Linked DNA regions of Saccharomyces cerevisiae S288C. Changing the gene in region 2 together with the main gene of any one other region gives a genetic interaction. Each region holds a gene or a part of one and is shown on either strand. Other genes may lie near its edges.

Evidence for each region. Genes that interact genetically often act in the same process or in processes that back each other up.
Region 1: mutations in LSM7 (region 2) and REX2 together harm fitness more than expected from each alone (negative genetic interaction), as found in Saccharomyces cerevisiae (3 studies listed by BioGRID).
Region 3: mutations in LSM7 (region 2) and LHP1 together harm fitness more than expected from each alone (negative genetic interaction), as found in Saccharomyces cerevisiae (4 studies listed by BioGRID, with this or other methods).

What each region holds. Positions count from the first base shown.
Region 1 is NC_001144.5:259,238-263,021, forward strand, and holds REX2 (Rex2p), read right to left. Parts: upstream 1,311-3,784; coding exon 501-1,310; downstream 1-500. Other genes in the region: glycine hydroxymethyltransferase SHM2, read right to left, coding at 1-164; FRS1 (phenylalanine--tRNA ligase subunit beta), read left to right, coding at 1,742-3,529. UniProt on the Saccharomyces cerevisiae protein: 3'-to-5' exoribonuclease specific for small oligoribonucleotides.
Region 2 is NC_001146.8:347,586-353,220, reverse strand, and holds LSM7 (Sm-like protein LSM7), read right to left. Parts: upstream 2,282-5,635; coding exon 2,264-2,281; intron 2,168-2,263; coding exon 1,838-2,167; downstream 1-1,837. Other genes in the region: MPF1 (Mpf1p), read left to right, coding at 1-401; MFA2 (mating pheromone a), read right to left, coding at 691-807; YNL146W (uncharacterized protein), read right to left, coding at 1,204-1,506; YNL146C-A (uncharacterized protein), read left to right, coding at 1,641-1,835; ALF1 (Alf1p), read left to right, coding at 2,550-3,314; PGA2 (Pga2p), read left to right, coding at 3,465-3,854; RPC31 (DNA-directed RNA polymerase III subunit C31), read left to right, coding at 4,700-5,455. UniProt on the Saccharomyces cerevisiae protein: Component of LSm protein complexes, which are involved in RNA processing and may function in a chaperone-like manner. Component of the cytoplasmic LSM1-LSM7 complex which is involved in mRNA degradation by activating the decapping step.
Region 3 is NC_001136.10:361,823-365,279, reverse strand, and holds LHP1 (tRNA maturation protein LHP1), read right to left. Parts: upstream 1,329-3,457; coding exon 501-1,328; downstream 1-500. Other genes in the region: KNH1 (Knh1p), read left to right, coding at 1-212; 1-acylglycerol-3-phosphate O-acyltransferase SLC1, read left to right, coding at 1,697-2,608; PBP4 (Pbp4p), read left to right, coding at 3,024-3,457.

The sequences.
Region 1 (3,784 bases), on a different chromosome or scaffold from region 2:
GCATCGAAAACGGAGGTTGAGGTGAAATTTTCAGAAGCAATCAAATCGATGGAGTGCTTTTGTCTTTCAATTTCATCCTTGATAATGGAGTCCACTTCAGGGTCGGTGTCCACCAAATGAGAGGTGATCAACTTATGATGAGCGTCGGATAGAGTGTAAGGCATGTTAAGGAGGATTCGGTTTAAGCTGTTATGCTTTGCTATGGGGTAGTATCTTTCGTAAAGGTTACACTAGAAGAAGGAAAGATTACTGAACGCAAACTAAGGGAAGCAAGTTCTGCATTATATATAAAACAAGATGAAGAAGACTCATGGTTCGGTCTAAGATGATTATGAATTTAAAAATTATACAGAGTAAAAAGCGAACATGAGAAACCCAAGAGATAGAGTCAAACCTTTATGGTCAAAGCAACCTGAAAGGGTCATTTCTCACCAGGAGTCATGTTTCGTGTGTGAAATATTTGAAAAATTTCACTTCTTTTTTCTTTTTTTTTTTCTACATTAAAAATCGGTGCGTTGTCTTTTCAAAGATGAGGTAGATGAAGATGGTGACTCCGGCTGTTCAGATCCGATTGACTCGACCGACTCTGTTTCCTGTGGTGGCTTCAAGTAGTTGTCCATGTACCATTGCAATTGAGCTATGCTCTCTTTGATATCACTATAAGCAGTGTGGGCAGCTTCTTTTTTTGGATTACGTGCTTGTAAAGCGGGATTGTGTCTGCGGGCAACTTCCATGATGCTACTGACGTCAACTATTCTGTAAAAGAGATGATCAATGACCTTGGGAAACTCGCGGACCATGAACAAGCGGTCCATATGTACACTATTGCCTGCCAAGACGCCAACGTTCTTGTCTGGGATGTAGCGCTGGATGTACTCGAGCAGCTCATCTTCTACCTGGGCCAAAGTCTTCTCACTTGCCAAAACTTTGGCGGTGAGACCGCTATTACCGTGGTGCTCAATACACCACTCGTTCATTTTGTTCATCACCTCGGGACCATAATGGATGACGCTCTCATAATGCGAGTCTCCTTGGCCATCGGCCGCTTTGACGGGTGCCAGGTGTCCATCGGTGATGATGCAGCAAATCTCGATAATTCTGTCATTCACGTGGTCTAAACCGGTCATCTCGCAGTCGATCCAGACCAAGGGTTTGAACAGCTTGGTTTTAAGTTCGGGTGTTTGCGCCATTGATTGCAGGTTTTGGATGGTTCGAGGACGTAAGTACTGTGAAACGGATCTTCTGTACAGCGAGAAGAGGTTTGGGCGAGTGCGAGCTACGATTCTTGCCGGAAACAACAACCACTTCATCTTGATCTCTTCTGTTTATTTGTGAAAGCTCCTTTTCTTTTTTTTCATTTTCTTTGCAAATCGAAAAGTTCACACTGATTTTTTATTAGTTCTTTTAAGTGCCCAACTTGACAGGAAAAAGAAACACCCCAAAGGGAATACCAGTGTATGTAAGGCTTGAATTATACGTATGAGCATGCGTTTGATGGTTGTCGTCAGAGCCAGTGCTCTGAGAGTGTCCCAGATGACTACAACCCTTGTATAAAAGTACATCTTCTTGATTATTTATCACGACACACGAGGTGACCGATTATTCAGAATCGGTACCAAAAAAGAAAGAAAATTGAAGGAAATGAAAAATTTTCAATGTATTTCTCGAAAGCCTGGAGTTGATCAAATGTTCAAAAAATAGGGCAGAATAGCATAACACACATCAATAACACCGAGCCAGCATGCCTACCGTCTCCGTGAACAAGCAGCAATTATTTGATCTTCTAGGCAAAAACTACACTTCCCAAGAGTTCGATGAATTATGTTTTGAATTCGGTATGGAAATGGACGAAGACACCACAGAGGAGGCCTTGAAAACCGGGGAGGAGCCGGAATTGAAGCTTGATATCAGTGCCAATCGTTACGATTTGCTTTGTATCGAAGGTATTTCACAGTCGCTGAACGAATACTTGGAACGTAAAGAAAGACCTGACTATAAATTAAGCAAGCCAACCACTAAGTTGATCATCGACAAATCAACGGAGCAAATTAGACCTTTTGCTACCGCTGCTGTATTGAGAAATATCAAGCTTAACGAAAAATCTTACGCTTCTTTTATTGCCTTGCAAGATAAATTACATGCCAATCTATGTAGAAACAGAAGCTTGGTTGCCATGGGTACTCACGATTTAGATTCAATTGAAGGTCCATTCCATTACAGAGCTCTACCACCAAAGGACATCAAGTTCGTACCATTGAATCAAACCCAAGAGTTTACTGGTGACAAATTGATCGAGTTTTATAAATCTCCAGAACAGAAAAACAACATAGGGAGATACGTTCACATTATTGAGGATTCTCCAGTCTTCCCAGTTATTATGGACAGCAAAGATCGTGTTTGCTCCCTGCCACCATTAATCAATAGTGAACATTCGAAGATCTCTGTGAACACCCGTAACATTTTGATTGATATAACCGCCACCGATAAGACCAAAGCCGAGATCGTTTTGAACATATTAACTACAATGTTCTCACGTTATTGTGACGAACCATTCACGGTTGAGCCTGTAGAAATTGTCTCTGAACACAATGGCCAATCCCGTTTGGCGCCAAACTTCAACGATAGAATTATGGATGTCTCCATTAAGTACATCAACTCCTGTCTTGGCCTAGATCAATCCGCTGATGAAATTGCTCATTGTCTAAAGAAGATGTCGTTGCATGCCGTTCAATCAAAGGAAGACAAGGACATCTTGCACGTTGACATTCCGGTAACTAGACCTGATATTTTGCACGCTTGTGATATAATGGAAGATGCCGCTGTCGGTTATGGTTTCAATAATTTGCCAAAGGGTGAGAAATTATCCAATGCCAACTTCATTGCCAAACCATTACCAATCAACAAGGTTTCTGATATTTTCAGAGTTGCATCCTCTCAAGCCACGTGGGTTGAGGTTTTACCATTGACCTTATGTTCGCACGATGAAAACTTTAAATTTCTAAGACAATCCGACAATGGTGATTTAGCTGTCAAATTGGCCAACCCAAAGACTTTGGAATACCAAGTTGTTAGAACCACTTTATTGCCTGGTATCTTAAAGACAGTCAAGGAAAACAGAAAACATTCCTTGCCAATCAAAGTCTTTGAAACCGGTGACGTTGTATTTAAAGACGACAAACTAGAAAGGAAGGCGTACAATGAACGTCACTGGGCTGCCATCTACGTGGGTAAGAATTCTGGGTTTGAAATCATTCAAGGGTTATTGGGTAAAATCATGCAAACTTTTAGAACAGAGTGGATTGCAGACTACGGTGCTGCTGCTTCTGGCAGAGGTTACTGGATTGAAGAAGACGATTCTGTGAAAACCTACTTCCCAGGTAGAGGTGCCAAGGTCATGTTCAGATCCAAAGAAGGCGCTGAGCCAAAGCAAATCGGCCACTTGGGTGTCTTGCATCCTGAAGTCATGATGAATTTCGACGTTCCATTCGCTGCATCCTTTGTAGAGGTTAATGCCGAAGTCTTCCTATAATGTAATGTTCTAACAAAAATTTTTACTGATTTATAAAACTTATATAGATAGATAGACACATATATATATCTATATATAGAAACACAACTAAAGTTTACCATGTTTTATATAATATTACTACCGCTACTGAGTAAATGTTTAGCTTGTACTTAACTTTCAAAGACAGTTTTTTTGATAAACATCAGTACATTTAATAATACATCCATACATTTATGTTAATTTGTTTTTCCTTTCCACCTCAGTGCGCTTCTCTTT
Region 2 (5,635 bases):
CGAAAAGCTTTTCCGTGACTGGTTGTTTAAATCATGATTTTCCAAAGAAATTGTCACTAAAATGTGGAAATAAGAATCAATCCAGTAACGATTCGAAGTGGGCACCGGCGACACAACTAGTTTCAAGGAAAAGATATATCAAAGACTCATTAAGATGCATCAAACCGTTAACGGAAGACCACCCATGGGTAGGTAAGATTATTTTCAAACCGGCACTGCCACCAGCATTCGAAACGAATAATCCACCTATAAGAGTTTATAGTGGTGAAGATAGTACGGACTTGATGCACGTGAAAAACCATTATTTAAAGCCATACATAGTGGGATCCTGCGGGTTTTTGAAAACTGGCTCAAAACTTTTTCACTTTTACGATAGAACTAACGACCTTACGAATTTATGAAATATATGTGTTTTTAATGATTAAATAATAGTCAAAAATATAATTAAAAAAAAAATCGAATGTAATGGGTGGTTCATCTTTCATTTCCTGCGGAGGGAAAGGCGTATCAGAAAAGAAAAACATGAAAAAATCTGTTAAAGTGATAACTACAAATACATATGTATAAAAGTATGAAAAAGTATGGAAAGGGTGAGCTAATGATGAGAGAATTGGAATAAATTAGTTTGCCAGCAACACGTAATAAATGAAAGGGTAGATATTGATTTGACCTCTTGGTTGTCGTCAAAAATTAAGCGATAACACAGGCGGGATCCCAGAAGAGGCCCTTGATTATATAGTTGTCTTTCTTTTCAGAGGATTTATCCTTCTGAGTGGCTTGTGTGGAAGCAGTGGTGATCGGTTGCATTAAGGTTGGTAGTTATTGTTGTATGAAGATGATAGCTCGCTGGTGTCTCTAGTGATGTCAATGAACGGATGAACGACAGAAGAAGTGGATGGAAATAAAATGGTTATTTATCAGATATTTATATACAAAATTACGTGGTAATGCAACAGCTTTTTCCTCTCGCTTTGTTCTTTTTCCTCTGACATGCATGTTTCATTTTCGTTCCTTATGGCATCCATGTCATGTAAATTTCCCGAATAGGTAAATACATGCTTTTTTAACTTAAAAAATTATGGGCGTCCTATGCATGCACTTAACGGAAAAGGAAACTATCAATTAATTATGTAGTAGATGGTGTACCTATTATTGCATTAGTATTTGTTTCAAATGAAAACATGCTGCTTTAACTTTTCTAATTTATACCATAAACGGTATAGTAATGATGAAACTGAAAAATAAAAAAATAAACAGTCTGGTCTTATCGACCATGTTAACATCATCAAAATCCACCAAGTTTTCCGAGAAAATAGATGAGGGCCTGTTATTATTACTAACTGAGTTTGAATTCTTTTTGTAAAATCGTGGCAGTAGTTCTTGAAATGTCATTTTGAAGGACACTGAGTTTCGAAATATCAACATTATGAGTATGAATAAAAGTGTAAGGATAATGATCCTTTTGAGTTCCATGTGATGAGAAGTGGTATGCTTAGTATTGCTCATACTGGACAAATACGAAAGGAATCAGTAAATAATTAAGATTGTAGAGGGAGGGGTGTATGTGTATGCGGATACTTTTTTGATTTGGCAGAAGGAAAATTGGTATTGGCAGCTGTACAGTGACTCCCCTTATACAAATGATCTCAGTTTGTTTCGTTTTTCCTCATTCTCTGGCTTTAGACTTCAAATCGCGGTGTAAAAAAAATAGGACAAAACTATGTAGCGCATACTATGTCAGTCAGGTATTGAGAATATGTAAAGAAATGCCATACCGTGATTTGATTTTGTTTTCAACTGTAAGGAAGGGAGTTTATATGAGATTATATTATTAAACCTATTTTTGCATATATAGTACATCAGAACCTTCGGCGGAACTTAAAGAGACCAAAATAGTACCTCTTATGACGGTCAAACCTAGCTTTCTTGCGTTTTTAGAAATCAGTTCAGTGTTGTTTTCATCATCAGGATTAGACATATATTCTACTGTATCATCAAGTACCAAGTTCATCAGTTGATCATAGCCTTTTAGGACACCTATAACTAATTTACCACCCATTAATTTGACGCGAATTTTAGAATCTTTATACTTCGCTAAATCCAGAATAGCTTCTCTTTTAGGGCCTTCGAATTTTTTCCTTTGCTGTTGTGGTTTGTTCTCTGATTTCTTAGTTCAAAAAGGAAACATAGTTATTATAATGTTAGTATAAATAAGTCAAAAGGAAGGTTATTGCCACGGAAGAAAATAAGAAGTGAAACATACGGAGTGTTGCTGATGCATGTTTTTTTGGTTAATGTTCTGTGTAGTAAACAAAGTGCTGCTCTCAAATAACTTTCTTTTTTACTGTAGTAGTATACACGTACATGCGTATTCTTAATTGTCGTTTCCCAGTTGTCTGTTTTCAGCTACAGCTTTTTTCGCCTTTGTTCGAAAGAACAGTACTTTTTTCCGGCTCGCAGGGAAACGGCAGTTGAAGAAGACAAGCGACAAGAACATAGAGCAACGAATTCAAATAAAGAGATAGAAAAAAAAATTACATGGCAAAACTATGGTTAGAGTTGTCATAGAGAGTGAATTGGTCCGTACAGAAAAGGAATTACCAAATTCGCTTAAATTAAGGCAGTTCAAGGACCGATTGTACCATGTTACCGGAGTGGAACCAGAGGATATGGAAATAGTTGTGAAAAGACAGTACGACAACAAGGAGATATATAGTACTAAAAAGGGGGGTGCCTATTCAAATGAGGATGAAGATGCCAACTTCCTAAAAGGAGAGGAGGAGCTTATTGTGGTTGTTACAGACTCTAATGCCCAATCAATCTCTAACCAGCTGGCCACGCAAGCGGAAGGAATCCCCTCAATGGAAGTAATTAGCGAGGAGGATTATTTGCGAAGGGATCAATCCGTATTACGATGGAAGATGGCTCACGGCTATGGTAGGTTTAATGCTGCACAGCAGAGCCAGCGCGCTGCGCTGGCAAAGCAGGACGAAGCATATGCCCGAGAGCAATTAACGGCGGCTATCGGCCGCCACTGTCGTGTCACAGTAGACGGGAGCGCTCCACGTGAGGCCATTTTACGGTACGTAGGACCACTACCGTTGGACGTGATGGGCACATGGTGCGGTGTGGAATTCCCGGAAGCCGCAGGCAAAAACGATGGGCGCATAAATGGGGTAACACTGTTTGGGCCTGTGGCGCCGGGTCACGGATCGTTTGTGCGTCCGCGGGCTGTGGAAATTCTATCAAAAGACGAAGAATCCGCCGAGGTGGAAGACGTCCATGATGACGTGGAGAGCGATGATGAAATTTGAATTTGTGCAGAATTAGCGCGGTGGCGGTTTAGTTAGTGATCTCCATCCGATGTCAACATATTATTATTTGTAGTTGTATTTATGTGCACTCGGCGGTTTGTATGAGGAAAAGATGTTATGAAGAGAAAAACTGCCGAGTAATTGAAAGAGATGTCTGAAGTAGCGGAAACATGGGTGGATACCTGGATGGCAAAACTAGTCAACTATGACTACAAGCACTTTATAAGATTGGTGATAATTGTAGGTGGTTATTTACTCTTAAGAAATATCGCATCCAGGGAATTGGCGAAGAAGCAGTTGGCTGCCCAAGTGGAAAAGGACAAACGAGACAAAGAGGAAAAGAGATCAAAAGACCTGATCGACAAGCCAGATGATGCTGCAACAGCAGAAACAACTTCTTTCGGTTGGGGTAAGAAAACTAGAAGAAGAGTTAAAAGACAACAGGAGTTGTTTGAAAACGCTTTGGAAGAGGCTAAGAGAAGAAACCAAGGGTTGGACCCAGATAGTGATGCTGATATTGAGGAACTACTGGAAGAATAGGCTCTCTGTGTATGTATGGGTTCCTCTTTGTCATTGTGACATTGTTTTGTTTTTAGTTTTTCTATAGTTTTCTGATAAAATAGTCTAACCATTACCGATGTTGCTACTTGCATCATTCTCAACGTCTAATCAACTTGCGTTTGCGTCTCAAATTGAGTTTGTAGGTTACGTGTCGCCTTAATAGTCAGCAAATGCCGACGTTTGTGAGACGGATAACGACTGCGATGATTCCCATTCCGCATGAATGATGCAATTCACAATTCAAACACGATATCAAACGACTAAGCCGTGAATTAACGGCTAGAATGCAAAAGAAAATGGGTAAGAATTGATTTATGTAGATACGGCAAGACGATACTTTCCTTAAACAGCCGAGAAACGAAAAGGTTTAAAGAGATGTACTGTGACGTAGAAGAGAAAGGATTACGCAGCAATGGCTTGTCCAAATTTCGTAGTCTAGCCAATTGAAAATATAAATTATTTTCAATACTAATGGGCGGCTTTCGAACAAATGTCACATTGCAGAGGTGATCGTTCAAAGTAATTAGCAGTCATGAACGAGATCTTCTTTTCTCTTATGAAGAAAAAGGCTGATGGTCGACAAGAAAAATCTCAATACAATGGCTACCATTCCACAAAGAAGTGCCTCGCTAGGTGTAACTCAATGAACTGAAATTGCTTTCGTCAGTGGTTTCAACTCTTGTGCGGCCGCATGAAAAATGAAGAGAAATTTGAAAAAATCTCAAAGAAGAAAATAGTTTCCTCATCGCAGCAACCTATAGAAAACAACACGACAGAAAGATATTGTAACTTGATAGTACCGAGCATATATACCCCGAACAAACATGAGTTCTTATAGGGGCGGCAGTAGAGGTGGCGGGAGCAACTATATGAGCAATCTACCCTTCGGATTAGGTTATGGAGATGTAGGCAAAAATCATATTACGGAATTTCCATCCATCCCATTGCCCATCAATGGTCCTATAACAAATAAGGAAAGATCTTTAGCAGTAAAGTACATCAATTTTGGAAAGACTGTTAAAGATGGCCCATTTTATACCGGATCAATGAGCTTGATAATAGATCAACAGGAAAACAGCAAGAGCGGTAAACGCAAACCCAACATAATCCTAGACGAAGACGATACTAATGATGGCATTGAAAGATATTCCGATAAATATTTGAAAAAAAGGAAAATAGGTATTTCTATTGATGATCATCCGTATAATTTGAACCTCTTTCCCAATGAATTGTACAATGTAATGGGGATCAACAAGAAAAAATTATTGGCAATCTCCAAGTTTAATAATGCCGATGATGTTTTTACTGGTACAGGTTTACAAGATGAAAACATCGGACTATCCATGCTGGCAAAGTTAAAGGAGTTGGCAGAAGATGTGGATGATGCGTCGACGGGTGATGGGGCAGCAAAAGGAAGTAAAACAGGCGAAGGAGAAGATGATGATTTGGCGGATGATGATTTCGAAGAAGATGAAGACGAAGAAGATGATGATGATTATAATGCTGAAAAGTATTTCAACAATGGTGACGATGATGATTACGGTGATGAAGAGGATCCAAATGAAGAGGCCGCCTTTTAGTTGAAAATTTATACCGCTTTACCATATTTTTGGATATTCTTCAAAGCAGAATTTGTACAATTAGCATTTTTCTTTATGGTTTAGATCGGCGGTGAGGGCGCAACAGATTTATGTATACATATTGAAATAATAAAATTTAAAAAAGAAAAAATCTTGGTAAACATTAAAAATCTTAATTCT
Region 3 (3,457 bases), on a different chromosome or scaffold from region 2:
AGTACGCGACCAGTGAGGTAACGTATTACTACACTTTAAGAAACTCCGTTGATCAACATACTACCGTAACACCAGGGTGGTCATACATAATTACAGCTGATAGTAACTATGCTACGCCGGCCCCTATGCCGGCTGATAATGGCGGTTGGTATAATCCACGCAAGAGACTCTCTCTGACTGCAAGAAAAGTTAATGCTTTGAGGCACAGATAATGAAATAATACAAAAAAAAAATTTATGAAAATGGACAAATCGATTTATTATATTCGTTAACATTTTTTCTGCTTAATTATTGTTATTCTATTTTTTTTTTTTTTTAAATGGATGAGCTGTATTCCATTTTAACCAGTAACGGTAATTTTTAATACTAATAAAAAAAGGAGACAAATAATATAGTATTAGTTGTAATTCATATTGTGTTTCTGTTTAGTACATATGTTAGTACATATATTCTTAATATGCTATGATAATGAGATACGAGAACCAGAAGAAACACAAGAATCACTCCTTGTGCTCCTCATCGTCATCGGCAATGGCAGAAGAGTCCTCTTTTGACTCTTCCTTGCCGTTTTTCTTCTTATTTTTGGGGAATTTAGGCAAGTTTTTCTTCTTATGGCCGTTAAAGGATCTTGATCTACCGCTGAAGTTTTTGGACTTCGAGGCCTCTCTCTGTAAATCAAACTGTTTTTTCGTCAAAACACTCAGTTTCTTACCTTCATATGACAAAATTTCGTTGGACTCATCGTCATTGGAATACGATTTCAAAAAAGCTTCACATTCTGGAATTGTCTTAAATTCCACCAAGACCGTACCATTAAATTTCTTGTTTCTGTGATCTCTTCTCAAACGCACTTGGTTGATTTCACCTAATTTTTTGAAAAAGGCTTCCAAGTTCTCCTGCAATTCAGGAATTTGGGAAGCTTCAACGTCCTCATGTGGGAAATTCATTACAGCCAAAGTCCGTTGGTTTTGCTCAATTCTGGCATTTCTGGCAGCAGTTAGGTCCAAAGGAACACGTCTCTTGACGTTCTCTCCATCAGCAGATACTTCCAAAATTTCAGAACTACGTAGTGCTTCGATAACCTTATCCACTGGTCTATATTTCTTCATACGGTTGAATGTGGCGATGGTGCTGATGGGGACCCATCCATCGTTTTTTTCCGCTGTTGTGCGCAAGAACCTGTCATATGGAAAGTTGAATTCAGAAAAGTAGAATTCCACTTGCTTTAAACATCTGTCCAAGACTTCTGGAGTAAATTCAATCACAGCAAATGAATTACGTCTTGATTGTGGTTTCTCTTGCTCCTCTTGTTGTGGTTTTTCAGACATTACTTCTTTGCAGATGCTACTTTAGTTCCAGTAGAACCAAATAGAACCCATTTTTTGGAAAAAGAAAAAAATACATCATAGCGATGAGATGCGACTCTGTGCTTTTGATTTGGTTGTAATTCAAAAATCTTGAGATATTGCGATGAGGTTGGGCTGAACACATTACACTAAGACGAAGACGAAAATTTTTTCACGGTCACGAGATGGATCTCGTGAATGATGATATCAATTATGCTTCCTTTGTTTTGTTGAGAATATGGTATGGTGTTCAAAATACTTATATTAGGAAGGGTTTAAGGTGAAGGGGGAATTCTTCAATAGAGAAGTTTAGTGGTTTCCCTCCGTCAGTGAATTCGAGCAAAAAAATAATGAGTGTGATAGGTAGGTTCTTGTATTACTTGAGGTCCGTGTTGGTCGTACTGGCGCTTGCAGGCTGTGGCTTTTACGGTGTAATCGCCTCTATCCTTTGCACGTTAATCGGTAAGCAACATTTGGCTCAGTGGATTACTGCGCGTTGTTTTTACCATGTCATGAAATTGATGCTTGGCCTTGACGTCAAGGTCGTTGGCGAGGAGAATTTGGCCAAGAAGCCATATATTATGATTGCCAATCACCAATCCACCTTGGATATCTTCATGTTAGGTAGGATTTTCCCCCCTGGTTGCACAGTTACTGCCAAGAAGTCTTTGAAATACGTCCCCTTTCTGGGTTGGTTCATGGCTTTGAGTGGTACATATTTCTTAGACAGATCTAAAAGGCAAGAAGCCATTGACACCTTGAATAAAGGTTTAGAAAATGTTAAGAAAAACAAGCGTGCTCTATGGGTTTTTCCTGAGGGTACCAGGTCTTACACGAGTGAGCTGACAATGTTGCCTTTCAAGAAGGGTGCTTTCCATTTGGCACAACAGGGTAAGATCCCCATTGTTCCAGTGGTTGTTTCCAATACCAGTACTTTAGTAAGTCCTAAATATGGGGTCTTCAACAGAGGCTGTATGATTGTTAGAATTTTAAAACCTATTTCAACCGAGAACTTAACAAAGGACAAAATTGGTGAATTTGCTGAAAAAGTTAGAGATCAAATGGTTGACACTTTGAAGGAGATTGGCTACTCTCCCGCCATCAACGATACAACCCTCCCACCACAAGCTATTGAGTATGCCGCTCTTCAACATGACAAGAAAGTGAACAAGAAAATCAAGAATGAGCCTGTGCCTTCTGTCAGCATTAGCAACGATGTCAATACCCATAACGAAGGTTCATCTGTAAAAAAGATGCATTAAGCCACCACCACATTTTTAGAGTAGTATATAGACCCAAAAACTGTAATTATCTTTTTAAAAAAGTAAAATGACTTACGAATGATTCTGATGATTTTATTTATTACGACTCATATACCCAGCGTAAGAAGTGATCAATAGACCGCTACTTTATTCGGAGAAAGAGAAAAGAACTTTCCATTGTAATGTATATATAACACCAGGCATGTGTCAAAAATGTGAGACTAAATAGAAAGAAAAATACGAGGAACAACAAATAATACGATCTTGTGCATATTTTTTCCCTTTTTTTTTTTAATTCTTTTTTTCTGAAATTTTTCATTTGTTCACTGTTTAATATCTATCCATTTTTGTTTCCGAATTTTCATTAACTTTATTACTTATTTACGATACAATTTTCCCTTTAATCTAGTACGAAATGACAACAACCTCAACAACCAGTGTAGATGGCAGAACCTCCTCGACTTTGAAGGCTACTTTATCTGCTTCAGGTCCAAATTCAAATGGTCCAACGCCCGCTGTGCTTCCTCAGAAGCCAAAATTAACAGGTTGGGCGCAGGCAGCTGCCAAAGCCCTTCCAAGGCAACAGCAACAGCAACAGCAGGCACGAAAAGATGATTCCGTGGCTGTACAACCTGCTAATACGAAGACTAAAACCATCGCATCTACCGCGCCGCCTGCTAATATAAAGGGTAGTTCCACCGCCAATGGATCATCCACAAATAAGAAATTTAAAAGAGCGAATAAACAACCTTACAATAGAGAAGAAGTTAGATCGTATATGCACAAATTATTTCAGAGCTATACCGCTGGTGAAAAAAGTCATTCAATGAAAACTTATAAGCAAGTACT